2 linked regions of the Pelodiscus sinensis genome follow. The protein of the gene in region 1 purifies or fractionates together with the protein of each later gene. This does not show direct contact. Links are inferred from orthologs where the notes say so. Each region holds a gene or a part of one and is shown on either strand. Other genes may lie near its edges. The genes, in order: RAPGEF2 and MAGI1.

Region 1 (15,187 bases):
AACATTTGCCACTGGTGATTTTTAAGGAGCACAAGCAACACTAATCACTTGTCCTACCCTAGGAACACCCTTTGCCCAGCTTCAGGTATCTGCCTCAAATCCTTGAAATGGCAGATCCTGTCAAAAGTACTTTGGGAAAAACATTAACAAAAGCTACATATTTTTTCCCCAAAACACACTTTTCAGAAATAGCATTTTAGACTAAGCAGTTAATATGTAAAACACTGGGTTCAGTTGCTAATTTAATGGAAAATGGAAAACAAGCCATCTTATAGGCATTGTTACCAACTTTGTCTATAAGAAAGGTCTTAGAATCACCAAGTTATACATGTAGGTTAGCTATGTAGACAAGTAACCTTATCACTGTTCTCCTTATCCTTCCCTTCCTTTTATTTTATTACATCTGCTTATTAGGTCTTCACTTAAATTTAATTCTAAGCACTTCAGGACAAGGAATATATCTCCCATATACATCTGGGCTCCAATAATACACATTGCATAAATCACCACCTTTGGCAAGGAGGTTTAGTCCTTCAGCAAGCACACAAGTTTTTCAAGCCTTTCCAGCCAAGCCCAAATATTGAAGAGCTCAATCTCAAAAACTCAAGTTACAGCTCCTACTATTACTAAAAGTTGACCAAAACAATGTATTGAAATAATATTTTATTTAATCCATATTAACATATTACTAGTTTCAGAGGAGCATGAAGTATAAGCCCAGAAATCTTTATAAAAAAGTTTTTTTGCTTTAACTTTATTGTATCCAGATTTTTCAAGTGTATATCATGTAAGTGAAACTTCTGCATTTATCATGGGGCTCAAGTTTGCAAGTGCATTAGGTAACACTGAATGGGATCAGTGTTTTATAGCTCCAGGACTAAAAATATTCAAGTATTTATATTAATTAGAATTTCTCTTTTTTTCTTCCCGCTTTACAACTTGTTCTGTGTTTTTATTCTGAAAGAAAAGTGATAGACACAACTGTTCTAATGTCTTCGATTAGGGGCTCCTAAACAGCAATCATTACATTGCTGCTCATTGTGCTAGCTCTTCCCATTTACAAATGCCCAAGTGCATTAAAAATGGCTAAAAATATATTACATATTTTAACGTAAACATTCTTCTGAGGTATGTGCAACCCACACATCACAGCATTTTGCTAGTTCAGAAGAACCCCTAAACAACACATTTACTCACATATTGTTGTTCAAGCAATGACAAATACAAAAAGTAGATAGAAAAATAAAAAGTTCTTTTAAAAAAAGGAACTAATCTTTAAATGCATTTGTAAGATGGATAAAAGATCTGTATTTTAATCAAGCACCCTATACAGTTTCCCTTGAAACACTTGTTTTCTATGACCATGAAGCACTACAAATAGCTTGACACTTATTTGGAATGATTCAGCAACATAATGCTAGATCAAGAAGTGAATGTTCATGTCTGTCCCTATTAATGAGTTCTCATACAATTAAACTCTTTCATCGGTCACCAGATAAAACAATGCTGTATTCCAAAAACAATGCTACTGGAGAACAAACTGAAAAATTAACTGAAATAAATATAAGTACCTCCTATAATTAAACGATTGTTTCTCTCAAATATTTGGCAGATATCTGCCAGATAGAAGCATCCTGTCTTGAGGTACTCGGACATTAACAGATGTCATTGGCAGACGTCAACTGGGTAATTAGATAGTCCTCCCCTTTCAACATGAAACGTATTACTAACGCCGCTTCTCAGTGCGTTCCAGCTCCACTCCCGAGGAATCCCTGCCATTCTGCGCTGCTGCCTCTGTGGGGTGCCAGGTTGGAGCTGGTCTGCAAGGGGAATCAGTTTAAAAACAAGCTCCCCTTGCGAACCGGCTGCCTGTCCCCATGCTGCTGCCTCTGATACAGAGGCTGCTGCCACCATGCGCTGCTGCTTTGGTCAGGAGAGGGGAGGTATCTGAGCTCCCGGACCCAGCGCAAGCCCGAACTGAGCCAGGCTGCTGGCCCACCTGGCCCCTAATACACTTTCAATGCACAGCCACAGCGGAGGCAGGTCCCGGACCCAGCACAAGCCAGGACTGAGCCGGGCTTCTGGCCAGCCTGCTAAAAAAATTACTGGCGAGGAGAAGGGGGGCAAGCATGTAGTCTATAGCATTAACCTCTAAGCTTTTGCTCATGGGTTAATTGACTACACTATTACATCCCTAGCTTGAAGCCACAAATATATTAAAAGGCATTTTTAAGAAAACCCACTATATTACATAAAGCTTGGGGGCATAAATATGATCGGAATTCATTAACATTTAGAAGTTTAATATTTGACGATCAAACTTTCTATTTGATCCTTCAAAGAAAAACAATATGATTAGCTTAATAAAGCAATTACGTAAGAGAAGAGTTCTGCTATACAAGAGATGCAATTAATAATGTAAAACAATTGGTCATATACATTTTAGATTATATTATTTTCTGAATTTTGTGAAGTAGAATACAACACTCCATTGACTAGAATAGCTCAGGTAGGCTTTGAATATCCAGTGTAAACCTGGACACATTCCCACAATAAAGATTTTTCTGCAATAATTTCTGAAGCAATGCTCTAACAGGACCTTTTAAAAGCTGTCCTAATTAGAAAAGGGTTTCTGAACAGGAAAAAAGTTCTAACAAAATCTCATTGACCCCCCTCCCTTCATAATCTAATGTAATAGTTTGCAAAGCTGTGTGTTCAAACACGGGCTTGCTATCCTGCAGTCAGTCCTCTATTCTCATTTTGACTCACAATGAAGTCATTACCCTAAACTTACATCATCACAATTGAGGGCAAAACACTAACATCAAATGCAGAATTACAGACATCACAAATAGAGAGGAGTAGCTGGGCATGTATAGATAAAGCACTTGCTAAAACACAGCATTCAATAAGCATTGAAAAGAACAAAGAAACATGACCAACAGATGCTTCCTTGCCTATGCACATTCTCTTACATGCACATTTCTGTCAATATAAAAAATGTAACCCTTTTTCATAACAGCCACAACTATACGACTTAATATGTGAAGATTCTTCAACACAAACTTAAATAACTACCTTTCTAATAAAAATCTGGCTTATTTTTAGGGAAGGCCAGCAGCAAAATCAAAGATAGCTAAAATTACTTTTTTAAGCACAACAATAGCCCCTGGCCTTTATGGCTTGATAAAAATACTGATTTTAAACTACAAAGTAATCAAGAAAGAAGCTTACTCACCACCATACAGTATGCCTTAAGATTAAAATGAAGTAATTCCTTCTCAGATAGGAAAGAAAAATTAAATTCTTTTTTAAAATTAAAAACTTAAGCCACTCAATTCAGAAAAAGCACAGGTGAAAATAAAAATACTTAAACACTCTAAAAAGTATAAATGAATTTTCCTTCATCAAGTCTTCTCCCCAGAAGTAGGAAGAGTCACATTTGATCACCAACCTTGAAGACGTCCAGCACTGCCAACAAAGCATGTTTCCCATAGATCTAGTCTGTCTTGTTGACTGTTTTGGCCAGTCAAACCCTAAAGGATTTAGGGTTTCTTTCTCTGTAGACTACTACAGCAGGCTTTTGGATATTTTAAATTTTGTAGTGCTAAAACAATCCTAGTGTTCTGGATTTAGCTTTCTATACTGTGTTCTTCGCATTGGCTCTATCCCTTTGCATTCAGGTTAGTTTCTTCACTGCATCAATTCTTCTTAAAAAAACTGATTGGCAGGGACACTGGAAAGTTTAACAGTTCACTTTATTTGGCACAGATATACAACTGTCACAGTGGACGTTTTGTCTTCTCACAGGCTGGTTTGGAGGCTCCACTACCTGACTGATTTCTGAGCAACTGCCATTATCTCTGCTGCTGACCAACTGACAGTCTTTTTATAATGTTCTCCCAAATCTCTTTGACTCCCATTACTGGAATTTAAGCTTCTCCCAGAAAAAGAGATCTTACTACATATTAACAAGTAGTATCCTTCTGAAATAACAGCATTCGGTTTCCAAATCTAACTTTTCAGTCACTAGTTGTGCTACTCTGATGCCTGTAGGCTTTCATACTGGTGCCAAGATTCAAGGCAAGTACTATAATAAACATTTGAAAAGGTCAAGCAAGGACACACAAACACAACTTTAACTTCACTATAATAAAAGGAATTTGTTCTAGAATGAGATGTAGAAAAGAATAATGTATTTTCATAAAATCAGGACTATCTTTTCTAACACATTTACACCATACTTTTCAACGTGATCTGACGTTGTCACAAGCTCAAGGATGTAAAACTGAATCCACAATGACTTATCTAAAGAAGGAATTCTGGATGCTGCCCCAAAAGTCAAAGTTCTTTCCTCAACCACAATTTAAAATGTCAACAGCCAATCAAAAATCTGGCAAAATCATCAGTAACCATGGTAATAAAAAATAAAACCCCTCTCTAAGATCAGCATATACTAAGTTCTTAGAGAAATAGGACAAATCTTTAGAAAACAGGACAGATGGCACTGCAACTAATGAGCAAAGTAACTCCTTGAATCATTAGCTATTGAACTACAGCTTGACTCAGGGATCAGCATAAAGCTTATTTGTCTTTAGACAGTTGGCAGCAGTAGCACATCCAGTCACCACTCCAAAGCAGTAAGAATTCACTCACCTTACGGAGACTCAAAAAACAAGTCAAAATAATTTTACACATTTTCCTCCCTTCTGTCTCTAATGTTTACAAAGCCCCATGCGCTAAAAATCCTACAGGAGTATATAAGTAAAATTGTTATTTATCCCACACATACCACATATAAGTGGGCCCCCAAGTGAAGACAGATTCAAATACAGCATTTAAAAAAACCTTCTCCCATGTTACTATGAAAGCATTTCTATTTCTGCAAGAATTTCTCCCTATTTTAAGGAAGCAAAGATTTGCCAAAAATACAACATTCACCTCTCTTATAAACGGATGGGCCAGTAATGTTGTATGCGCTATATATGTACGCAGTGAATTCAATTCCAGAATTAAACTACTTGTTATATATTAAGAATAGACACATGCTCTCAGTTTAACATTTCTTCTCTTTCCATGAACTAGCATCCTATACATCAATATTTTGGGTGAGTTAAGTTTGTGTAACAGTGAGTATGTTGCACTCCTATACAAACTATAGTGTTCAAAGTTTCTATTAACACCATAGTATCTTCTTTTAAAACACACTATGCAAAACAGAGAGGAAAGACAGCAGCAGTTACTAAATCTGGGTTTCCCATAGAGTCAGCTTTCAGGATTTATGCAACTCACAGTCAAAGAGATGTCCTCCCCCCTTCTCCTCTGTTGCTGTCTGACCACACAGGGGTTCTCTGCCCAATTTTAGACAAAGATAAAGGGAATGAACAGACCGACTAAGGGAATGTGAGCCCCCCAAAAGTAACAACAGTACTGCGAGAGAGGAGTGGGAAGAGAAATCTTAAAACTACTGCTGGCTGTGAATGAATAAGGAGTTCCTCCATCCCGTGAGTGGGAAAGGGGATTAGAGAGGTCTGAAAACAGATTAGCTGACATACGTATGTACAGATCAAGGAGTACTCGAAGCAGAGGAAATGTTTATGATGTGTGTGTGAGACAAACAAGAGATAAACAAGCAGTAGCTACGGGGAATGTTGGGGAAGGGAGGATTCATTATGTGGGAGTGGGTGGAAGATGAAAAAACTGCACTATGCAACGTGGAAGGGCATAAGGAAATAGGTACCTGTTGCCCCGTGTGCAGCACCCCGGGGGCACAGATCAGGTGATGCCTGCCTGTACCCTGGGGCTCCTATCCAGGAAGAAAAATGGGGGTCGGTGCCCGAGGTTAGGCTCCTCTTGAAAGGGAAAAGAAACAACAAAGGCTGTAGGAGCTCCCCGGGGCAGCGGGGGGCCGAGAGCTAAGAGGAGGGCGCTGCAAGGGGTAAGTCCCCAGCAGATCTCGAGGGCGGGGAGGGCTCCCTAAGGGGACACTACGGGGGAGAGCGAAGGGAGGGTCACGGGCCCCTCTGGCGCCGTTAGAGGGACACAGGGGGGTACCTGGGGGCTCCTCTCCGTCGGGTTCTTCATCACCGCCTGGCGGAAGCTGTTATCCACGTACGACGCCATCTCGTTCCGTCTCTGCCCCGGCCCCGCCGCCGCCTGCCCGGCCCCGCGGCGGCCCCTGCTGGGTGCGGGCTGGGCTGGGAAGCGGCGCCGAGCCCCGGCCCGAGGCGCGCGGCGGGGGAGCCGGGCTGGTCCCGGCGGGCTCCGCTCCCTGGCGCTGCCCGGCTGGCGGGCGCGGCCTCTCGCGGCTCCGGGTTCGCGGCCGCTGGGGGTGAAGCGCCGGGACTCAGCAGCGCCGCCGCCCGGGCAAGCCCGGCCGGCAGCGGGAGGGGCGGCCCGGGAGCTCCCGGGGTCCTGGCGCCTGGCGGCGGCTCCCGACTCCGGCTCTACTGGGCTCCGCCGTCCCGCTCCGCGGCTGCTGCGGCTGCATCCCCGCCGGCGCCTCCCATCCGGGCTGCGGGGCTGCGCTCCCGGCGGGCGCGGGGAGCTGGCGGGCGCGGCGCGGGCGGGGCCGGGCTGTCACGGGGGGAGCGGCCTCCGGCGCTGGCGGCTTTGTGCTGCTGCAACCATGGTGAGGAGCCCGCCGCACCGGCGGGGAGCGGCCAGCGGCGGCTGCAGCGCTCGGGGAGGGGCCGCGCCCAGCTCCCGCCCCGCGGCCCGGCCGACACCTCTTCCCCCGCGGAGCGTCGCCTGCTGTTTGATCCCAAGAGGGGTGTCGGGGTTCGGGTCAGCGCACCGCTCTCGGGCCCCGGGCGGGCCTGCCAGCCCCTGACCCACCCAGCTCTGCTACCACTCTCAGACCAGGAGGCTGGGTAGCCTCGCTAGGTACCCATATGGGGGCAGGCTTCAAAGCCCAGTGCCCCTACCGGCAGCCACCACTCTCCCAAGGAGAGGAGTCCAGTTCCCATGGGGTGAGAACAGGGGTTTGTGCTGTAAATGTCTTCCAGGTACTCCCATATAGGCTAGAGCAGACCCCCTGCAAGAAGTGAAAACTGAAGGGGAGCATTTTGTTGCTAGTGAACGTAAAATATGTGATTAAAGCAATAAATCTGACTTTGTGTTATTAATACAGTTTCTTTCCTAATAGCCTTTTTAAGTCATTTTGGGGAGTAGCAAAGGAAAGCCTACAATGTACAGAGGGTGCGGGAGTAGGGCAGTTGGTTGGGACTTGGAGGGGCAGGAGTCAGTGCACGAGATTGGGGAGCAGGAGGGATTCAGAGCAGGGGATTGGCGGTGTAGAGAGCAGGGGGGGGAGGGGAGTTAAGGGTTGGGACAGTCCCGTCATAGTGATCCTGCCACAAGCTGCTCCAGTTCCCAGCCAAATGGGAGCTGTGAGTGCAGCAATTGCAGACAGGGCAGTGCACAAGACAGGTTGCCAGACTCTATACCATACTCAGTTCATAGACAGATGGATTTAAACTGTGTCTGGATGTGGAAGACATTGCAATAATCTGTTCTAGCCCTGGCAAAATGATAGATTGTCAAACCTGGGAGAGGCTATTATGATAATCTGTTTTACACTTAACAGGATTTAGAATTTCATCCACAAATAGCTGCATCAAGCCATACTTTCTGAGGACAGAATATTGTTTAGAAAGACATCCAGTCCTGATGTAAAGACTTATACTGATAGAGAATACATTACATCTCTCAGAAAGGCATCCTAATGATTAAAAGCTTAAGGATGAAAGAATTTTGATTACTTATTCAAGAGAACTGCCAGAGGTTTCAATCTGTGACTATTCACACACCAGTGCAGGAACTCTTCCAGTATATTGCCAAGCTATTGTATAACAAGATTTACTGCATGGGTTATATTAGCCAGGTCCAAAGGGAAAGGTTTTACCTTCTAATAAGAGGCACATGCTGCTGCTGCCTTCATCATCTAAAAGCAGTTAGGGATCTAATAAGATCCCCCAACTGCAAACTCTGCTAACAAATGGACAAATGTCTTCAACTGGAGCCAAATATAATCTAAACCAACTCATGGCTTTCCACACTCCACAATAACTTTACCCCATGTCTTCAGTGGTATTTAAGTGTTGCTGCACCTAACAAATGGAATTCTCAGCCCCCGACTACCAGCATGGCTCCCCATACAAGAGTTGTTCATGTAAGGAAGGGATCTTCAGAAGCTAAACAAGTTGACTAGGGAATTTCCTAAACTATCCAGGAATGAAATGCCATGTTTAGGTGTTTAAACAGTGTCCTGGCTGACAAGCCAGAGGTAGGCACCTTCCTCTGCTTGGAATCTTCATCTATAATAAACCTCCAAAGCTCAGTCAGCCGCTTAAGTAGCTTATGCTCTAGCAACCAAATCTGCCTTGTGCTGTGTCTTACACTTGCACTACATTTACCCAAGCTATTGGCGGTTTGGATAGGTGGTGTGCAGTATTTGTGGTCTGTGTCCCGGCTGTTTGCTTCAGGTCTAACCAGTTTTAGGCATGCACAGAGCACACCTAAAGGATTGTCCCCTATTGGCAGAATAGGCATTCCCCTGCCTAGGTTTCAGCTTTAGCTAGAACACTGGACTATTTATTAGCTAGATCTGGGGCAGGGTGATGGGAGTAAAGGGTTGGCATCAAGACTTCAGGAGGCTCTGTGAATGCTGACCAGCAAAAACCTAGGCTCAGAGGGGACTTTTAAGCACTTGACTCCTGATTGATTTCAACTGGAATTTGGTGCCTAAATATGTTTTAAAATTTGGTTGTAATTTCTTTGGCAAGTCCACTCTTGTCACTTGTCTCTATGCTAATCAACATCAGCCAAATGTCCCGTTTGTGTCATGTTATATAAGAGAACAGAGAAAGAAAAACAAGATGTTTTAATTTACTTTTTTTGAGTCTCCTAGCGAATTTTCTCATATAGGAGCCTGACTTCATTTAAACTATGAGTTCCTTGCAGCAAAGACCAACGTTATTTGTGTTTCCCATAACATTGAGCATACCACAGCTGCTTAACAAATAATACTTGTTAATTATACATAATACTTTCAGCAATGTAGAACTGTTCAGTGGATTTGCTTTTCCAAATACTACCGTGCTATGTTATGTAAACACTGTTAACATTATAAAGGTTTAAAAAATTTTAAATGATAGCTTTTCAAATAATAGCACAAGAGTACATCTTTTAAGGTGCAAACATTACAGGATGTTTATTTCTAATTTATTGAAATTTAAGCATATGAAAAATATTTTTTTAAACAAAACCTAAATTTGAAGGCTTAAGTGAACTAGTAATTTACAGGCTAGTTTAGGAAGAGCTAGCTGACTGCTTAAGGAGTCTGTGGAGTAGCTGTGTGAAATTTACTAAATCTAGTCAGTTTCTCCATATAGGTCTTCACAGTGCTTTTTTTGTTTTAAAAAAAAAGTGCCAGCACTCCAGAAGAAAAGTTGTTGAGCTCTGACTGGAAGTGCTGGTACTGCATCTGGAGGTGCCAGTACTGCGTACCAGGCAGTACCATCACAAAAAAAGCACTGGGTCTTCCTCAATAGAAAAAGCTGCAAAAGTATACAAATTAGCAGGGTCTGATCTTAATGAAATGCTTGTGTGGCCAGTGCAGAGAATTCTGTGTAAAGTGTTGGAGTAAATGGAGGAAGTTCCATATCTCATCATCTTGATTTTCAATGCACAGGAGTTAGTTGTTTGAAAAGACAGGATGTTGTTTAAATTGACAGGACCGAAATCAATTCCCTATTCCCTAAAAATATCAGTTTTAAATGTGCCTCAGCTCTCCCCCTCCCTCCACTCAAAAAAACCAGAAAGAATGTATTATTCCTTCCAATTAATAAGGGAAGCTGCAACTGTGTGAAAGTGCCAGTTTCTCTTCTGAGAAACCTATCACCAAGCCAGGGTGCCTGTGATTCTCTTGAAATACACACACAGGCTATGTTTATACTACAAGGTTTGCGCAAACACCGGCAGAGCGTCCACACCTCAAGTGCATTTTTGCGCAAGAAAATTGACAGAACAGAGGGCTTTTGGCGGTAGAGTTATTCCTCTCCCCACAAGGAATAACTCCTTTTTGCACTACAGCTCTTGCACATAAAGGCGGGCATGGACGCCTATCGGAAAAAGCACAGGTGCTCTGATGACCATTCTCTGAATGGCCTTCAGAGCTTTCTTGTGCAAGAGTGTCTATGCAGTGTGGATGCTCTCTTGCACAAAAGCACATCACTTTTGCAATGCGCTTTGAGGTCCGGATGTGATTTTCCACAAGAAGTTTTTGCGCAAAAACTCTTGCATGAAAGGCTTCTTGCGCAAAACCCCTGCAGTGTAGACTAAGCCATAGTGTAAGTGCCACACAAGCATATGAAGCATTGATCTGTTTTTGAAGCATTTGAGGGCACTAAATCCTGTATGTTACAAGCAGAAAAACTAGTTTAATTTACAAGTGAAATGATATGCACGTCCGCAAATCAAGAGAAAGCTACCAACTCTATTTTACCATACAACTGTTATTCTTAATTTTAAGATTATATATTGACTGAGTCCCTCTAAGAATTTTAATTTGGTGATTGATCTATTTTATGGTGTCTATTACTATAGTATTTGAGAGTCACAATGGTATTTGGTTTCAGTGAAACAGTCTCTCCCCTCCCCCTCACCCCCGCCTCCCAACACTAATTATTTCTTAATTTGGATTTACTAGGTAAAAATAAATGGGGCCTAATGCAAACAGACATTATCCTTTCAACACATGATGGCATGGAATCTATTTCGTTCCGCTTAAGATTTTGCACTTGTCATAAAGCTTAAAGGTAGATATTTAAAGAAATGGATGTTGTTAGATTGTTAAGTCATATGAGTCTCAAATACGAACAATGCTCACTGGCAAAATAGGTACAAAATACTTAAAACTACAGAGATTGTTTTGTTTTTTTAAGTCAGTCCAGCATGGAACTCATGCACAATTTCTGTCAGAATAGGTTGTCAATGTAGAACTACATTTTCATGTATCTTGTATGAAATTACATACATAAGTAATTGCATACAAATTGTGTAAATAGCTATGTAAACTACAAAATAAGTTTATTTTAGGAGATGTACAACATGCTGGTATATTTGAAGACAGGATACAAAAGGGCATCTCATGAATTACCCTGGGTGTACTTTTATTTACCAAATTAAGTACTGTATATTTTCTTTAGTCCTTAATTACAACTTTAGATACATTTATGATCTACTTTAGATTAGTGGTGGGAGAGTCTCACTGACCCAGCACAACCCTTCCTAAGAGACTCTTCAGCTGGATAAGCCACTTGTTTTATGGAGCTTTTCTACCAGCCATCACCAGCACTAGTTTGTGCATGCTGTAACTGGCATAGATATGTTCTCTCTCAATTGTGGAAACACTGAGACAGAAATCTTCCAAACACAAAATTAAACTATAGCCATCAAATCATCTAGTGAACCAATCACAATGAATCATCTTTAGGTGGAGTAGGAAGGAAGGACCGTAAGCACACTCAAGTTAATATGTACAGTGCTTTATTATTAGAATGCACTCCTTGAAAATTTGCCCAGTGAGGGGCAAGTGTGTTTGCTAAATTTCAATCATTGTGTGATGTCAAAGATAGCAGACACAGATTAAGGATGGATTTTACATTCTGATGGCTTGTCATGTGGTTCAGTTTTTAGATAACGAGAGGAGCCAGTAAAAACACCTCAGATGAACTCTTGTTAACTTTACTGTGCACAAAATAGTAAAAGAAAGCAGTGCAATGTTGCACAGATCTATTTCAATACATGGGATAGTAAGCACAGACAGTAATAATAACACCTTTACCTAGGACAGTACACAAGCTACTCAATTATAAGAATATGAATATACTTATTCATGTAAATCACACACACACACACACACATACACAGACACAGTTCCAATGCTGTTACCCTTACGATTGTCAGACAGGAGGTCGTGGCCTCTTTCTTTTCCCATGTGCAGAGGCATCCACAATGCATCGGGCAATAGGAACTGGTTCATCTTCTTGTTGCAATGAGTAAGGTAGTAGGGACACCTTATTCAATCCCTCCCACTGATTAGATCTTCTACCCCTATATTTATAGCAAAGCGAGACTTGGTCGTTCTAGTAATATCTACCAATCAACTACATTTTGCATAAAATACCTATTATGCCAATATCTAGGATACATTTTACAATGCCAAAATATTGCAAAAGTGCTTCATTAATACTTTTTCTGTCTGTCTCTGGAAATTTTCTCTTATTAAAAATGGGATGTACTAGTACCAGGTTGTTTCTGCTCTTTTTGGCCTGGTCTCGCTGTCCTGTACCAGTTCTGCATAATTGGGCAAGCACTCCTGACTTTCCCCACCCTTTCTGGCCCGGCCTGAATGCATACATATGTGTGTGCCCAGGCTCGAGTCAGACCTAAGGTGGTTTGTTAGAGATCCATACTTTGGACAAGGCTGGAATGAGGCCTAACACTGCAGACATTGTTCTCTCGAGGGCTGTCCAGGCTCCGCTACATGGCTCTACATGTATAGACTGAAATCTTTATTCATTGCCAGATGTCCTATGAATGGTTTGGATATATTATACTAGCATCAGTGGTTTCTGAAAATAAGTGCTTCTCCAGATTTTTTTTCCTGGGACAGGGAGTCTGTTTTGTTTACAAACTGGGCACCTGTGATGTGTGATGAATATATAAAAGGTCTAGTAATTAAAGTAAGGATCAGGAAGTCCAAACCTGTAAAACAGGAATCCCTGGATGGAAGAAGGTTTGAAAAGAGAAGGAAGGGGATTGAGAAGTAATATAGCTAAGCCCTCAGAGCCAAGGTTATATTGAGAAAAGAGGAAGAGACGAGGGAAATAGGAGAAAAGAAGCCAAAACCCAGGGAAGAGATAGCCAGGGTCTCTGTAAACTCAACTCCAATTCATCTGATGAAGTAGGTTTTACCCATGAAAGCTCAGGCCCTAATACATATGTTAGTTTCTAAAGTGCCAGAGGACTCCTTGTTTTTGTGGTACTTATATGACTCCATTACCATAATACCTGAGTGCCTCACATCACATCTCCCCAGTGAGGTTGGCTAGTGCTGTGTTATACACATTGTACAGAGGGGGCACTGAGGGACACACAAATAAAGGCCAGATTTTCAAAGGGATTTAGGCACCTAATGATATTTTCAAAAGTACCTAAGGCTAAACTCCACTGGATGCCTAACTGCATCTTTGGGTGCCTTAAAACTTTTGAAACTCTATCCCTAAGGGACTGATGTGAGGTCATACAAGCAGTCCATGGTGACTGGGAAGTTGGTCTCTCAGGGCTAGCTCCCTATTGAGTGGATCAGCCTATCTTTATGCTTTAGGTTAGGCTGAAAAAAAGGACTCCGACTGAAGCAAAGCCAAGAAGCCATTTCTCTGAGGGTACATCTACACTAGCCCCCTAGATCGATCTAGGGAGGCTAATGAGGGTGACCAAAATTGCAAATCAAGCGCTTAAATATCCCGCGCTTGATTTGCATGTTTCCTGCTGGTCTCCATTTTAGAAATTGACTAGCCCGAAGTAACTGCCTGTGTCTACACGCAGCGGTGAAACGGGATTCCGATTTAAAGCCCTAACTCAAATTAGCTGGTATTCCTCCTGCAATGAGGTTTAGCAGCTAATTCGATTTAGGGGCTTTAAATCGGAATCCCATTTCATTGTCGTGTGTAGACGAGGATAGTTACTTTGGGCTAGTCAATTTAAAAAATGGCGACCGGCTGGGAACATGCAAATCAAGCACGGGATATTTAAATCCCGGGCTTGATTTGCAATTTCGGTCGCCCTCATTAGCCTCCCTAGATTGATCTAGGGGGCTAGTGTAGATGTACCCTGAGACTTCAGCAGCAGTGACAGTAAGGCAGCAAACCGGGGTGTGTTGCTCTAATAAGGAGCTGGCCAGTGCGGCGTGCTCCACTGCAGGCAAAGATGCAGTGTGCCCCCAGTCAGGCTCCCACCAGCTCCTGGAGCTCTCCTGCAGGCTGGCTTTGGAGGTCCCACCTACTATGCTAAGCAGAAGGCAGCCAGGTAGCAGATGAAAGGGGAGGGCTAGAGGTGCATTGTAGGTGGAGACATACATGCTCTCAGTCAGGCTTCTGGTGGGACATCCATGTCCCAGCCTGTCCTGCTGCCCCACTCTCATCATGCTGACCAGATGCTGGGCAACATATGCACATGCCATCCCTGCAGCGTGCACTGCTGCAGCTCCTAGGAAGAGGGGGAAGTGAGTGGCAGACTGCCAGCCCAGAGGGTCTTCTCAAGCCATATCTGCCCATTTGTTTACAGACACAGTGCCCCATATAGTCAGCTCACAGCTATCATAGAAGGAGCAGGTGCAGCATGGGACAGGGACTCATCTACAAGCCAGGTAGCCTGGCTGCAACTCGGACTGCCCCAGGCCAGCCCTGAGGCTCCCCTCCCCGCCTCTGCCTCTGGAACTGGGCCAGCCCCAAGCCCTCTTCCTGCACTCTCCTCCACACACTCCAGCTCCCTGCACTGACTCCTGCACATCACCCACTCAAACACAGCCTCTTGCCCTGAATCTTCTCATACCCCACTCACCTGCACAACCCACCCCCTACACAGCATTCCCCCACACCTACCTACATCCCAACTCCCTGCCCTGAGCCCCCCCACTCTTCATCTCACACTTATATTTCTTACAAGCACTGTCGTATTGCAGCCCCACCAGCTCCCCTACCCTGAATTTCCCCCGCCCCCGAGGGAGGTTGTGATATGACAGTACCATAAGAAAATCAAGTTACTTTCACCCCCAAGCTCTACAGAACTCACATTCCACAATTGGTGCAATTAAGATCTCTGCCTAGGAGCATATCTTCTATACTAAACTCAGGATGGGAGAGGGCTGCAGCCCACACACTACTGCCCCTGAATGTGATCTATATATATGTTGTTCTAAAACTACCTAAGCTTTTACCAATACTTTGTTTCTTTTTCTTAAAAAAGAAGTTAAGTTTCATATTAATTGTTACAAAATATTCTGTTGCCATTTTTGCAAACCAGATGTCCTGGTGCATGAGAAACAAAAAGGGAAATTGACTAGAAATTAATTTTATACTCCATGATTATTTATTGTTCTGCAGTAGCACTTACAGGCCTC
Region 2 (15,039 bases), on another chromosome or scaffold:
GCCACAAGCCGAGTCAATTTTCACATTCTAAAATCCTAACAAATGCTTACAGTGTGTAAACTTGATTGGGATAAAAACCTGATCTTGACTGCAATGATATTTTAATTCACAGCAGTCTACGTTTCGAGGGCGGTAAGAGCACCAATATATTACATGCACAAGATTTCTGATCAACACAGGGCCAGGCACTAAAGCGTCACTTATTTTATGCTTGGAGAGCAGCTAGCACATTGTGGGCGCTATTAGATTATATTTGCCATTTATATTACAAGTCCAAAATAGAAGCAGACTTTAAAAATATCAGTAAGAAATGTTTGATTAGTATAAATTTACATGAGCCATACTTCAGATTCTATTACCTAAGGATGGAGGTCAAACTGGAAATGCACAGGGAATTATCAATGTGTTTTTGTTTGATGTTTTGTTGATGTGTTGCAACAAAAAAAAAAAAAAAAAACACAATAAACCCTCTATCAGAACCCAAGAGAGATCATGTGACAGATCAAGGAAGTAAATTCTTAAAAGCAGCAAGAGTTTTATAACATTTGCATTTACCTGAAACAGGTAAATGGAAGTCCAATATAAAAATTTGCACCCTGCTTTTGTATTTCAGAGCTATGATTCAGTGACCATATTTTGTCTGGTTTTAGCACCAGCCAGAGGTTCTGTAATCCGCATATCATATGTTTAATGTTACCTATTAACCTGACAGCCTGCATAAAGGCATCGGTATTTTTTATATTAATCGATATTTATACAAAAAAATAATTGGAAGACACCACATCCCTCACAGGCCCCTCCTGGGAAAATGATGTCAGAATATGTGCCCATGCAAGTAACTTTTAAAGGGGCTGGTTTAGTGACATTAATGAAGTCCAACACCTCATGGCTGCTCAATTGTAATTAATGTCAGCACACCATAGAAATGTAGTGTCAACTAATCATGTTTTAGAATCTCTCTCAGGCTCAAGATAAGGTTTTAAATGAACCAAACATACATGACAGCAGATAGCGACCACCATTTGGGAATGAATGTCTGCCTTTGTTTACCTTGTACTTAACTTTTTAAAAATCCCCTCCCCCTCTCCTTTCCTACTAACTTCAGAGTAACCAAAAAAAAAAAAAATCACTCATGTAAACTGATCCTCAAGTACCATAACTTCAGCTGGTAGTACTTAATTTTAAAAAAAGACAGTTTTCTTCACCAACCTTTGAGCTTACAGTGACAAGGATGACTTGTACAATTTGACATATGCATCTAATCAAAGAGTTAAAAAAACTGACTAATCTTGAAATATCCCTCAAACTCCATGTGTCGTGAGGAAACAAAGAACAAAAAGACATCCTGTATTAAATGAAAGGCACACAACTGGTCTGCTGTGGAGAAGTTAACTTGTCTGTTGTCAGGAACAACATGTTCAAAGCCTGGCACAAACAGAACAGGTCATCTCAATCAGGATATATAAGCAGCAACCAGAGAGAGAAATTAAAAAGAACGTTCTGTTAAGGATTGTCTCTTTATCCAATGGATTTAGCCTGGAATTTTTAAGTTTATTGCAGAATGCTACAAAGTTAAGCACGGAGAACGGAAATCAAGATATTACACTAATACAAGTCTTACACTATCAAACATATTAACGGGAGAACGATAAAGAAAGTGGGTGAAATAATGTCTTTTACTGTACCAACTTCTGTTGGTGACAAAAACAAGCATTTTCTTAGTGAGTTTTCTTCCTCAGGAGAAAGAATACCAGTTTTGCAGTTTTAGACCAAATGCAGTGGTACATACAACTATATTTATTAATTTGAATACAGCTTAATCACTTATTTGTTTGAAACTGAAGCAACAAAAAGGAAAGAATAGTGGGTAATTTTAAAAACACTACACCTCAGACGTAAAATCTTTTCCATTGTTTTCATTTTTCACTTTTACCCTTAAGTGGCCTCGCTCTAACAGCACTGAAAGGTACTAAGTCAAATTTCAGAAGCACTTTTTCTCCCAAACAAAAAGAGATTATAACATTACACTTTTAAAAAAAATACAAAAGTATCTATGGGGCAGATCTGTTCACTTATTCCATGTTCAAAGCATAAGAGAAATTAAAGCACACACCTCCCATATGACCAGTTACTTGGAGTAACTGTTTATAAGGGTTAATAAAAGTAGCTGTTTTCTTATGTGCCTCCTCCCCCTTCATCACTACAGTATGGCAAGTGCCCATTCAAACTGAATAGTCTAAGGAAAAGAAAGTGTTAAATAAAAAGTTTGCATTTTGAATTGTTAATCCTATAAAACTTAGCTTTAATGGTGAGGAGTGTGTATAACCTATAAAAACTTCATTTCAAAGTTGTTTTTTGTTTGGGTGTTTGTGTTAACCAACAATCAAATCCATTGTTTTTTCTGTTCAAGCCTGCAGATGACTGGCTTATTTATAGTAATCTTCCTGTTTTCCCAGCCTTGTAAATGTCATACAAAGCGACAAGCCAATAAAGCATGTAAGTTTCCAGGTTCAGTTTGTCACAAAACTTCACCAGTCAGGCAGGCACTAAGGACTGGGGAGATGTAGGGGAAATGGAATCAGACAGTTAAAATGTGTTTACACTCATTCACTTAACACTGTACTTTGTAGCATGTTTGAGTAACTTGCAACCCTTGCCGAATATGATCAGTTCAAGATATATTAAAAAGGGGAACTGCTACTGGAAATGGACATAGAAGTCATGCATTTTAAATAGGCTAAGTCTGAATCAGTCAAATTGGTCAATGTCCATTTCACCATGCATACATCTACAAATCAACAAAATTATATTTCTGTAACAGAAATTTACAGAATGGCAAAAAAAATGCTGCTTGAGAACTTACTGGCATTTGAATTAAGAATATTTACTTTGTATATTTTTGACATGTTGATTATTTGAGTTCTCATGATTATAAAGGTTTAATTTCTTGCACCTCAACATCTGACAACCTTCCATGCCTGACACATCCCGTACTTTCCTGCAACCATTTACGTTTAAATACGTTTTTTAAAAAAGCACAAGCTAAAACTCATAATTCTGCACTACTGTGAAAATCTCAAATTATTATCATTATCAAAAGAGTGCTTAAACAAACAGCCCTTAAAACCCTATTTGCACTTTTTTATGTTTGCTTACTGTATGCATTTCACTCAGTCTGAACAAAGAAAACCAATTTCACTTTGTTCATGGTCAATTTCACTTCCAGGTAGGGATGTAAATGTTTAACGGTAAGCAATGCCTTACAGCAGGGGTGGCCAACCTGTGGCTCTTGAGCCACACGTGGCTCTTTGCTCACAGAAATGCGGCTTTCCGGGTTATGGCTCGTTCAGAGCCGCATGCCCGCTTTGTGCATGTGCTCCAGTTCCTGGAGGAAGACGTGCGTGGCTGGGGCAGCTCCGGTGAGACTCAGGCATTGGGTTGAAATGGGAGGGGCCTGTGGATGCCTGGGTCTGGAGGAGGGCATTGGGTTAGAGTGGGGGAAACTGGGGGAGGGATGTGTGGCTCTTTGCACTACTATCCACAGCTCCTTTGGCTCTTCATGTCTAACTGGTTGGCCATCCCTGCCTTACAGGCATGCTTACTGGGATAACCAGTGCTCAGCTGGGCAGGAGCAGTCCCCCACCCCCCGCCTAAGGGGCTGCTCCAGACCGGCAGGGCGGCCCACCCCACCATGGGCGGAGGGACCTGCTCCAACACCCCAAACCCACCCACAGCTCGGTAGGCGGTTCATAGCTTAAACCTACAGCTTAACCGATTAACAATTTACAGAAAATTTTACATCCCTATTTCCAGTGCTTCAGCATTTGCATTGCAAATACAGGGTGGGGGGCACCAGATGTTCCCACTGCAGGTAAAAAAGGGAGGCGGGGAAGGTGGACACTTCTACTGATTTTAGGTTTGATAAAGTTAGTCTTTACACTGATATTTCTTTATGTAATGGGGGGGGGGGAATTCTGAACTCACATTCCATTTTAAAAAGGAAACGGACATATATTACAATGACAACTCAAGATTACACATTGTTACATAACATATCACATGATGGGACAGAACACTACTCCTCTGATAACGTCCACAGAACAAGTGCATGGAACCTACAGCATTAGCTTTTAATAGGGCTAATGGACAGAAGTTCAGAGGAGAGCTCTGCTGATTTACATGAAAGGCAACAGCCAAACAACAAAGACAGAGATTAATTCTCTTCTGAGCCAAGTCAGTAGGTTGTTGCCTGCAAATCAACTACAGAAAACACTGCAGCATTAGCCAACCACTGCAAATCCCTGTAGTTTGGGATGTGCACGTTTGTGCAGTAATACACTTTCCTCTAAAGAATCTCCTGAATTATCCTAACAAAGCATCCCTTCCTGCCTCCATTTATAGATGACCTGGTGTGCTTTTTTAGGCCACCATGCAAATTTACAGGTGTTCCAATATAATCCTATTTACAGTGTTTCAAAGATCCTGGGTTTTCAAATAACAGCTGCTGGAACAGGAATAGTTTCCTGGTACTAAATTCAAGTCCCACACTGGAAACTACAAACCTGTTATCTAGACCTGTTGTGCTAACCTGCAAAAAGTAAAGTGTCTTTTCAGTAGGGAAGGCTTTTTGCTGTTGCTTTCTAGAGTCTCAGTTGAGATACTTATCTCCTACAATCCCAACCACTAAAAGAGAAAGCAAGATTAAAATAACCCTCCTGGTGCAGGATACTGTAGTTACATCTTTTCCCATGCACACACTGTGCCAACCCTTTGACAAGGCTAAGGCAGGCAGCTGGCAATCACATGCCTATGCTTTTTAACAAGACTTTAGTCATAATCCAGCAGTGCAACCAAATGCTCCAGCTGTAAGAGACGCATCCCTGTTGTAGGAGTAAAATCTTTCAGGAAATGCCTCCAGGTCCAGTGAAATGAAATATTTGCTTTGTTCACTAATAGAGTTAGCTATCAGATGCAAGCATTTCACTCCACAAGGACTAAGCCTCCAGAACCGCCTGTAGCTAGAGGTTTTTGGTACACTTAGAAAAAGACTGAGGAAGTGGGTCTGGCCCAGGAAAGCTCATCACCTAATAAACCATCTTGTTAGTCTTTAAAGTGCTACATAGTCCTGTTTTTTGTCTTCAGGGGTTTGCTCCTTGTGCTTAAGGCAGGCCAGACTGGAAGGAAATAAAACAAAAGAGTCAAGTTTCCCCATGACAACAGGGTTCTGTTGGCACAGGGGAATCCAAGTGACCCCCACTTAATAATGCTTTGCGAACAAGGTGTTTCAAAGGTCATTCAGTGATCCCAGATGACCGATAGAAATGAACCCTTTGTGTGCTTTAAAAAGAAACAAAAAAGCCAACCACACCAACCAACTGCTCCCGGCTAGTCTAGTTGAGCCCTGCGGCACACCACCAACCAGCGAGTGGCCTTGTAGCACCTGAGCCGCTCACAAGATCAAGAGCTTCCGTGGGCCAAACCCACGCCCTGGGATACACACGAGTCTGAGGAAGCGGGCTTGGCCCGGGAAAACTCACGGTACCATGGGGGTGTTCGCCTCTAAGGCGCCACACCGGGTTTTTCCAAGTTACACACACACCCTGCTACCCCCTCGGAGACTCCCCATGGGGTAAGGAAGCGGGGAGCCGCTGTGGCCCCCCCATGGCAGGGACGCCGGAGCAAAAGGAGAAGCGAACACAACTTTGCTGCCAATTCTCCCCCCCGCCTCCCAACTTCGCTGCCAACTCTCTCTCCTCCCCCCTTCGCTGCCAACCCCCCCAACTTCTCTACCAAATCCCCCCAATTCTCTCCCCCACTCCCTACTTCTTTGCCAACCCCCCCACAACTTCTCTACCAAATCCCCCCAACTCTCTCCCCACCCCCATTTCGCTGCCAACCCCCCCCACAACTTCTCTACGAAATCCCCCCAACTCTCTCCCTCATCCCCCAGCCAACCCCCCCCACAACTTCTCTACCAAATCCCCCCAACTCTCTCCTCTCGCCCCCAACTTCGCTGCCAACCCCCTCACAACTTCTCTACCAAATCCCCCCAACTCTCTCCCCCACCCCCACTTCGCTGCCAACCCCCCCCACAACTTCTCTACGAAATCCCCCCAACTCTCTCCCCCACCCCCACTTCGCTGCCAACCCCCCCCCACAACTTCTCTACGAAATCCCCCCAACTCTCTCCCCCACCCCCAGCCAACCCCCCCCACAACTTCTTTACCAAATCCCCCCAACTCTCCTCTCGCCCCCCCTTCAATGCCAACTCTCCCCCCAACTTCTCTACCAACTCCCCCCCAAAAAGTCTCGCTTTGCCTCCATCCCTGAGTGGCTGCGCGCTCGGAGCGCCGGGCTGCGCGGAGCCACCCCCGCCTGGCAGGAGCCGCCGCCGAGGCTGCCCGGCGGGCAGGTGGCAGGCGGCGGCGAGCCCCGAAGTTCGGCCCGAGGTCCCCCCCGCGAGCCCCGCACCTGGTCTGACGGCGGCGAGGGCGATGGGCTCGGGGCCGCCGCGCAGCAGCTCCAGCACGTCGTAGCGGGGCAAGCCGGACACGCGCACCCCCTGCACCTCCAGCAGCAGCTCGCCGGGGCTCAGCTCGCCGCCCGCCGCCAGCACCGGCTCGCCGCCCTCCTCCGGCGCCCCCACGTAGGGGAACTGGCCGTGCTCCGCGCCCCCCAGCAGGGGCAGCCCCGGCCGCCCGCCCGCCGCCCGGCTGGCCGCGCACTGGTGCAGCCGCCCGCTCCAGTGGCTCTTGCGCTGCAGGGCGCGGGCCATGGCGCCCGGGAGCAGGTGGCGGGCGAGCCCGGGCCGCTCAGGCCATCCCGCCCCGCCCGGCCCCCTGCGCGCGCGGCCCCTTTAAGCCGCTCCGGAGCCGCCGCCGCCGCCGGGCTGGGTCCAGCGCAGCCCGTCCCGTGCCAGCCGGCAGCCCCCGGCACCGCCGCGCAGGCGCCCTGCGAGCGCGCTCCGCTCCCCGCCCCGCCCCGCCGGCCCGAGCCGCGGCTGCCCGCCCGGCTGGGGAGGAACTGAGTTGGGGGGCAGAGGCGGGGGGGCTGAAAGGGGGCAGGCAGTTGGGGGGAGAAGGGGGAGCTGGGATGGGGAGCAAAGGGGGGAGGGAGTTGGGGTGGGGAGCAAAGGGGGCAGGGAGTTGGGGGAGAAGGGGCTGTTGGGGTGGGGAGCAAAGGGGGCAGGGAGTTGGGGGGAGAAGAGGGAGCTGGGATGGGGAGCAAAGGGGGGAGGGAGTTGGGGTGGGGAGCAAAAGGGGCAGGGAGTTGGGGGAGAAGGGGCTGTTGGGGTGGGGAGCAAAGGGGGCAGGGAGTTGGGGGGAGAAGTGGCTGTTGGGGTGGGGAGCAAAGGGGGCAGGGAGTTGGGGGGAGAAGTGGCTGTTGGGGTGGGGAGCAAAGGGGGCAGGTAGTTGGGGGAGAAGGGGCTGTTGGGGTGGGGAGCAAAGGGGGCAGGGAGTTGGGGGGAGAAGGGGGAGCTGGGATGGGGAGCAAAGGGGGGAGGGAGTTGGGGTGGGGAGCAAAGGGGGCAGGGAGTTGGGGGAGAAGGGGCTGTTGGGGTGGGGAGCAAAGGGGGCAGGGAGTTGGGGCGGGGAGCAAAGGGGGCAGGGAGTTGGGGGAAGAAGGGGGAGCTGGGATGGGGAGCAAAGGGGGCAGGGAGTTGCGGGGAGAAGGGGGAGCTGGGATGGGGAGCAAAGGGGGGAGGGAGTTGGGGTGGGGAGCAAAGGGGGCAGGGAGTTGGGGGAGAAGGGGCTGTTGGGGTGGGGAGCAAAGGGGGCAGGGAGTTGGGGGGAGAAGAGGGAGCTGGGATGGGGAGCAAAGGGGGGAGGGAGTTGGGGTGGGGAGCAAAAGGGGCAGGGAGTTGGGGGAGAAGGGGCTGTTGGGGTGGGGAGCAAAGGGGGCAGGGAGTTGGGGGGAGAAGTGGCTGTTGGGGTGGGGAGCAAAGGGGGCAGGGAGTTGGGGTGGGGAGCAAAGGGGGCAGGGAGTTGGGGGAGAAGTGGCTGTTGGGGTGGGGAGCAAAGGGGGCAGGGAGTTGGGGTGGGGAGCAAAGGGGGCAGGTAGTTGGGGGAGAAGGGGCTGTTGGGGTGGGGAGCAAAGGGGGCAGGGAGTTGGGGGGAGAAGGGGCTGTTGGGGTGGGGAGCAAAGGGGGCAGGGAGTTGGAGGGAGAAGGGGCTGTTGGGGTGGGAAGCAAAGGGGGCAGGGAGTTGGAGGGAGAAGGGGCTGTTGGGGTGGGAAGCAAAGGGGGCAGGGAGTTGGGGGAGAAGGGGCTGCTGGGGTGGGGAGCAAAGGGGGCAGGGAGTTGGGGGGAGAAGTGGCTGTTGGGGTGGGGAGCAAAGGGGGCAGGTAGTTGGGGGAGAAGGGGCTGTTGGGGTGGGGAGCAAAGGGGGCAGGGAGTTGGGGGGAGAAGGGGGAGCTGGGATGGGGAGCAAAGGGGGGAGGGAGTTGGGGTGGGGAGCAAAGGGGGCAGGGAGTTGGGGGAGAAGGGGCTGTTGGGGTGGGGAGCAAAGGGGGCAGGGAGTTGGGGCGGGGAGCAAAGGGGGCAGGGAGTTGGGGGAAGAAGGGGGAGCTGGGATGGGGAGCAAAGGGGGCAGGGAGTTGCGGGGAGAAGGGGGAGCTGGGATGGGGAGCAAAGGGGGGAGGGAGTTGGGGTGGGGAGCAAAGGGGGCAGGGAGTTGGGGGAGAAGGGGCTGTTGGGGTGGGGAGCAAAGGGGGCAGGGAGTTGGGGGGAGAAGAGGGAGCTGGGATGGGGAGCAAAGGGGGGAGGGAGTTGGGGTGGGGAGCAAAAGGGGCAGGGAGTTGGGGGAGAAGGGGCTGTTGGGGTGGGGAGCAAAGGGGGCAGGGAGTTGGGGGGAGAAGTGGCTGTTGGGGTGGGGAGCAAAGGGGGCAGGGAGTTGGGGTGGGGAGCAAAGGGGGCAGGGAGTTGGGGGAGAAGTGGCTGTTGGGGTGGGGAGCAAAGGGGGCAGGGAGTTGGGGTGGGGAGCAAAGGGGGCAGGTAGTTGGGGGAGAAGGGGCTGTTGGGGTGGGGAGCAAAGGGGGCAGGGAGTTGGGGGGAGAAGGGGCTGTTGGGGTGGGGAGCAAAGGGGGCAGGGAGTTGGAGGGAGAAGGGGCTGTTGGGGTGGGAAGCAAAGGGGGCAGGGAGTTGGAGGGAGAAGGGGCTGTTGGGGTGGGAAGCAAAGGGGGCAGGGAGTTGGGGGAGAAGGGGCTGCTGGGGTGGGGAGCAAAGGGGAAGAGGGTGGGGGAAGGGAGAGTTGGGATGGAGTTGGGGTGGGGAGCAAAGGAGGGGAAGGGGGAGTTGGGATGGGGAGGTGGGCCGGAAGGGAGAGTTGGGTGTGAAAGGGGGAGTTGGAATGGGAAGCAAAGGGGGCAGAGAGTTGGGGAGGGAGAAGGGGAGTTGGGATGGGAAGCAAAGAGGGAAGAGGATGGGGGAAGGAGAAATTGGGGTGGGGAGCAAAGGGGGCAGGGAGTTGGGGGAGAAGGGGGTATTGGGATGGGAAGCAAAGGGGGAAGAGGATGGGGAAACGGGGTGGGAGTTGGGGTGAGGAGCAAAGGGTGGTGGGAGTGAAAGGGAGCTGGGATAAAAGGGGGACCTGGGTGGGGAGTAAAGGGGGGAGGAGAAGTAGGGATAAGGAGCAGATTTGGGGGTGGATGATGGGAGGGAGCTGGGTTGGAGGACAGTGACGGGAGAGTAAAGGGCAAGGAGCTGGATTTGGGGGGGAGGGGAGCAGGAGGCAGACTAGCAGAGGTGTGAAGTGGAAGCTGAAGTCCAGGGGCAAGGAGCTACACTGAGTGATGGAGGCTGGGGGTTGGGAGGGGCTGAGACAGGGGAAGGAGCCAGGCTGGGGTGAAAGGAGGAAATGAGGTGAGCTGGGAGCAGGGTTGGGGGCTGAGGTAGCAGGAACAAGGATCCTTGGGAATGGATGGAGAGTGGGGATGGTGATGAGCTGGGAGCAGAGGGAGAAGAAGCAATGGCGGGGGGGGGGGGGGGAGGAAGAGATGGAGAGAAAAGTTTGCCTGGTACTTTTTCTGGGATGAAGTGGGGGGAGGGAAAAGATCCTGTCCAAGCTGCTGGTGCCTGGACAGAGATGCTGGGAAGTGAATTACTGTTGGGAGGGGAGAGTTTGTGAGAGCTGTTGCTTGTGTATGGGGTGGAAAGGGAGGCAGAAAAACATCAGAAATGCAGGCATGAAGCCCTCACTTGAGGGTGCAGTGATTATAGAGTTCATGGTGATGTTACTTCCCAAAGCAAAAAGAGTCTGGAATGGTAGGCTGGGAACTGAGAAGCTGCAAGGAATACGGGGGGTTACTGTGGTGTGAGGAGCTCTATAGTTTGTCTACCTCCTGGCCACCTGGCAGAGGGAGAAACAAGAGCAACTCTCTTTTGGGTGCTTGACAATGTCTATCTTTTCTACAGCTGGTCCAAATCCTTCTCTTTCTGGGTTGCTCAAACTGCAGCTAGTTCATAGTTTCCTTCATTAGTTACAAAAGGTGGAGCTTGTAGTAAGGTTGCCTAACTCTTTCCATTATAAGTCCCTGTTTTGAGTTACTTATAACTTTTCCAACTTTAACTATTCAGGCTGAAGTTTTCCAGGTTGGGTGTGTGCCTCTGGCTGAGTTAGTTTCAGCAGAAAACAGCTCCACCATTTCACAAAATGAGTTAGGAAAAAATTAAAATGTTTTGAACTTTCCCATTCTCACAACTGTTTTATTGAGAAGATGTGTCTGTGCGATGCAGCTGAAGTTTAGTAAGATTTTTGCTCTAGTTTGAGGGTTGTGCCTTTTACTGCCTTAGAGAAAGTGCATCAAATTTTGACTACATTGGAGGCTCTGAAGCTCAGTTTACACTTGCAAGGTAAAGGTTTCTTGGAGGCTGGCACTAAATAAGGCAAGGGTCTTACAGGAAAAAAATACACAACATAGTCATGTCCTTAAAAACTATTCTGTAAGGCACTCAAGCAGGGAGACCAAAATAAATATGCACAGGCATCCTTAATTCTGGCATTTCTGACTCTGCACTCTTAATATTCTGTTGACCCAGGGTTTTCAGTGTACTTTATTGTTTAAGAGATTATGAAAAATGGCATCTTGAACCAATTCCTGAAGAGAAGCCTGCACCCAGCCCTTCCCCACAAAGGAGTTGATAATCCCACACCATCATCTCCCTACCACATTTTTCCCACTAAGGATAGGCCAAAGCTCTGCAAGCAACTCCAAAACATCATTAACTGACCCAGGATGAAACTTGCATGGGAAACAAAAAGGGGAGTTATCTCTTGCCAGAAAAGCTCTTTCCTCCCTCAAGCTGAAAGCCCAATTTGAAGTCAGAGCTGTGCAGCGGATGAGAATATATTTTACTGGAATATTTACATGGTGTTGCTGGGGTCCTTAACTCAGCTTTTATTTTTTGGAAAAAAAAAAATGAAAATGTCCATGCTCCATTTGAATCATTGCTATAGGGTGGGGATGGGGACGAAGGGTTCAGTCTGCAGGCTGCTCTGGGGAAGAGGATTACCCCAGCCCTCTCTCACCACAGCAGCTTGGGGCCAGGTGAAAAGTTCCTTGCTGTGATTGCTGCCGTTCCAGTGGGCACAGCTGGGGTGGGGATGCATGGCCCCCTTGCTGGGGCAGGTCCAAGCCCCGTGCATGCCCCAGTCAGAGTGAGGAATACAGCAAACTCTGCACTTTCCCCTTGCGCCATGAGGAAAGGGAACAGTTAGCAATGAACCCATACAAATTGGGGGGTAGGGAGACCTCAGTCCCTGCTGCCTTCCCTATAGGGTGCTTGGGGTGGAAGGCTCTGAGCTGGGGCAGTTCAGGACCAGTGTGCGGCTCCCTCATCCAATTCCTTTCACCTGCCTGGTAGTTCTGTCTCTTTTCTGTATGCTTCTCAGAAAAACAGTTCCACTTACCACACATCCCATTGTTCTGGCACAGCCAAACCCTAACCTTGCTTTCAGTTCTGTTAAGAAGAAGCTGCACCCCAAATCTGGCAGTCCTAATTCTTACCATTTAGGAGGACAAAAAGAAACTCAAATATTTAGTATATGGGACTGTGACGGCGCGTTGGGGGTCCCCCGTCTCCTGCACCCCGAAATGGCATGAACAGACTGCACCAGCCGGTGGAATAGAGGAAGTTTATTGCCTCTCCAGGATACAGCACAGCACAGATGTAATCTGGTCACAGAGCTGGGCTAGGATGCCTCAGGCCCCCTTGAGATGGGGGAGACTGGGCCCCTAAACTCCAGCCCCTTTCCCTAGCCTGTCTCCTCCATGCTCCCAGACAGCCAGCAACTAACTAACCCTCTTCCAGCCCTGCCCCCCAGCCAGGGCAGCATTCCACCTTCCTTTGTTCCTCTCCATGGGGGGTGTCTGGCCATACTGGTTTGCATAGTGACTCATCCTGTTTTGCTGGGTCGTGGTACCCACAGCAGCCAGTGGGGGTTACCCCAGAGCCAGCAGCATAGAAACCAGCCAGGTACCCCCACTACGTCACAGGGACCACTAAAGTTTCTGAGCTACAACAAGCTCTGCCTCAGCCATCCAAGCAGTTTTACCCATGAATGGAGTCTGAATAGCAAGAAATGCTGGATTTGGTTCCTAAATGAAGACGATGAACACACCGCACCCAGAACACAGCTGCGGATCGGAATTCTGGGGTTGAAACAAGTAAGCCCTTCTTTGCTCCCTGAACAGCCTGCTGTAAGGTGTTAGGTCACAGTCTGTCAGACTTTGCCCCCCCCCCCCATCTCTCGCTATCTTCCCTCACACTTCATCTCTCTGGTTATCTGTATACCAAGGTGACCTGTAAAGTTAGAATACAAGGAGGAACGTGGGAACCAGTGTTCTGAAAGTTACAGACAGAAGTTTGACAGTCATGCCCTATCAGTGGTGGCTGAGCACTATTTTTGCCCCCACGCTTGTTTCACTGACCCAATGAACTTGATGCTCTGCTTCAATGTGAAGTTTGTGTTCTAGTATCATTATGCAGGAGGTAGTAGCTGATGTGTGTAAAGGGTATTGTCTCCAGTCTCCCCACCTCTGCGCTTTTCCCCAAATAAAAAAGTATGGCCGCTGTGTAAGAGGGGTAAAATGCACGTTGGGCCATTGTTGTTTCTATTACAGTCGTGCCTAAAATCCCATGTGGAGGTGAGGGCCCCCTTTTGGCTAGGTAATGTCCAGACATAAATAAGAAATAGTTTGTACCTCAATAGCATGATAATTGAAATAGACCAGACAGATAAAGGGTAGAAGAAAAGCCAAACAACTTGCCCACAGCAGGACTGTGGAAAGGCCAGGAAATAAAATCCTTGGCCTTTCAATGCCCATATTCATTCTCCCCCAAGGACTGGGGGGTACAGACCAAACTTTGGGATGTACAACACCTGTGGGAACGGGTGAGTAGAAACATTCAGAAGGGCAGCTGATAATGTCAGCAAATTTCCAAAAAGAAGCTCAAATAACCACATAGGAATTTTTATCCAGGACTATTGTGTGTGTCCATTTCTCTCTCTTTAAACTCTCTCCCTGCCTTTTCTAATTTGGAATTTTTATTACAAAGATCCGCTGCTGCTCTGTGTTTGACCTGAAAGCTGGTGACACTGCTGTGTCTTAGCCTTCCAAGAACAACTGCCTAGCATCTGCTAAGCTGCTTTAGAGGTCTCTCCCATTGGCTGTCCAAGCTGCCCGTCATAGGGCCGTGACCTGCCTCTCGGTCTTGGGTTGTGCAGCATGGCTCAGTGACCAGGCTGAGTAAGTTCCCCAGGGATCGGCTGCTAGGCAGGTCTGCTAAACATGAGACAGTGGCCTGTCTAGAAAAAGACGGCTTTATTTTTTATTTGTGGGATTTTTCTGCATGGCTGCTCATCAGAAATAAGGCCCAACTGATACACATCAAGAGACAAGTCTGAGTCCACACATGAGAAGAGGTTGGCTACATCTAGACTGGCATGATTTTCCGCAAATGCTTCTAACGGAAAAGTTTTCCGTTAAAAGCATTTGCGGAAAAGAGCGTCTAGATTGGCACGGACACTTTTCTGCAAAAGCACTTTTTGTGGAAAAGCGTCTGTGCCCATCTAGACGCGCTTTTGCGCAAAAAAGCCCTGATCGCCATTTTCGCGATCGGGGCTTTTTTGCGCAACACAAATCTGAGCTGTCTACACTGGCCCTTTTGCGCAAAAGGACTTTTGCCCAAACGGGAGCAGCATAGTATTTCCGCAAGAAGCACTGATTTCTTACATAGTGATAGAAATGTAGCCGTGTTAGTCTGGGGTAGTTGAAGCAAAATGCAGGACAATGTAGCACTTTAAAGACTAACAAGATGGTTTATTAGATGATGAGCTTTCGTGGGCCAGAGTGTTCTTGCAGAAATTGAAGCGGCCAGTGTAGACAGCTGGCAAGTTTTTGCGTAAAAGCAACTGCTTTTGTGGAAAAACTTGCCAGTCTAGACGCAGCCACTGTGTTTCTGCTGGGAACAGGGTATAGATTATTCCCAGCAGTGGTTCGCATGATTTGCTTTGAGAGAGCCCTGCCCCGGCTAAACGCATCTGGGCTCCATGTGAATATCACATGAGCGGTGACTGCCCTTCCCTGAGCTAGTGAATGGATCTGAGATGCCTCTCGGAAAAAATGGCCAAATGCTGTAGAAACAATCCTGCTACTGTATTATATAATAGATAACAGATAGCTGGGGGAGGTGTTGTGTCCCTACTAATGCTATAGTACTGACCAGGGCTCTCCTTATGAATTCTGGTGCCCTGTACAGCCCAAGCACCTGCATCTCCCATCCCCCACCGCAGGAGGAGAGGGACAACAGCTTTGCCATGGAGGGGGTTGTGCTCAGGGCTGCAGGGGAAGGAGCTGGGGGAGGGAGGGTGAGAAAATCAGGAACAGAGGCTGGTGGGGGAAGGAGGCAGAAGGGGGAGGGGCAGGGGATTGTGGCTGTAGGTGCTGGTAGGTGGGGGCAGAGGCCATGGGCTTGGGACTTCCTGGGCCAGCACCAGGCATAAATGTTGTGGTGCCCTACACAGCTGTGCGTGTATTGTG

Evidence for each region.
Region 2: the proteins of RAPGEF2 (region 1) and MAGI1 purify together in Homo sapiens (co-immunoprecipitation; 3 studies listed by BioGRID and IntAct, with this or other methods). This does not show direct contact. The link is inferred for Pelodiscus sinensis from reciprocal best matches to the Homo sapiens genes RAPGEF2 and MAGI1.

Annotation. Positions count from the first base shown.
Region 1 is NC_134715.1:59,794,216-59,809,402, reverse strand, and holds the start of RAPGEF2 (rap guanine nucleotide exchange factor 2), read right to left. Parts: upstream 6,915-15,187; 5' UTR 6,124-6,914; coding exon 6,055-6,123; intron 1-6,054. UniProt on the Homo sapiens protein: Functions as a guanine nucleotide exchange factor (GEF), which activates Rap and Ras family of small GTPases by exchanging bound GDP for free GTP in a cAMP-dependent manner.
Region 2 is NC_134721.1:6,036,125-6,051,163, forward strand, and holds the start of MAGI1 (membrane-associated guanylate kinase, WW and PDZ domain-containing protein 1), read right to left. Parts: upstream 6,926-15,039; 5' UTR 6,776-6,925; coding exon 6,472-6,775; intron 1-6,471. UniProt on the Homo sapiens protein: Plays a role in coupling actin fibers to cell junctions in endothelial cells, via its interaction with AMOTL2 and CDH5. May regulate acid-induced ASIC3 currents by modulating its expression at the cell surface.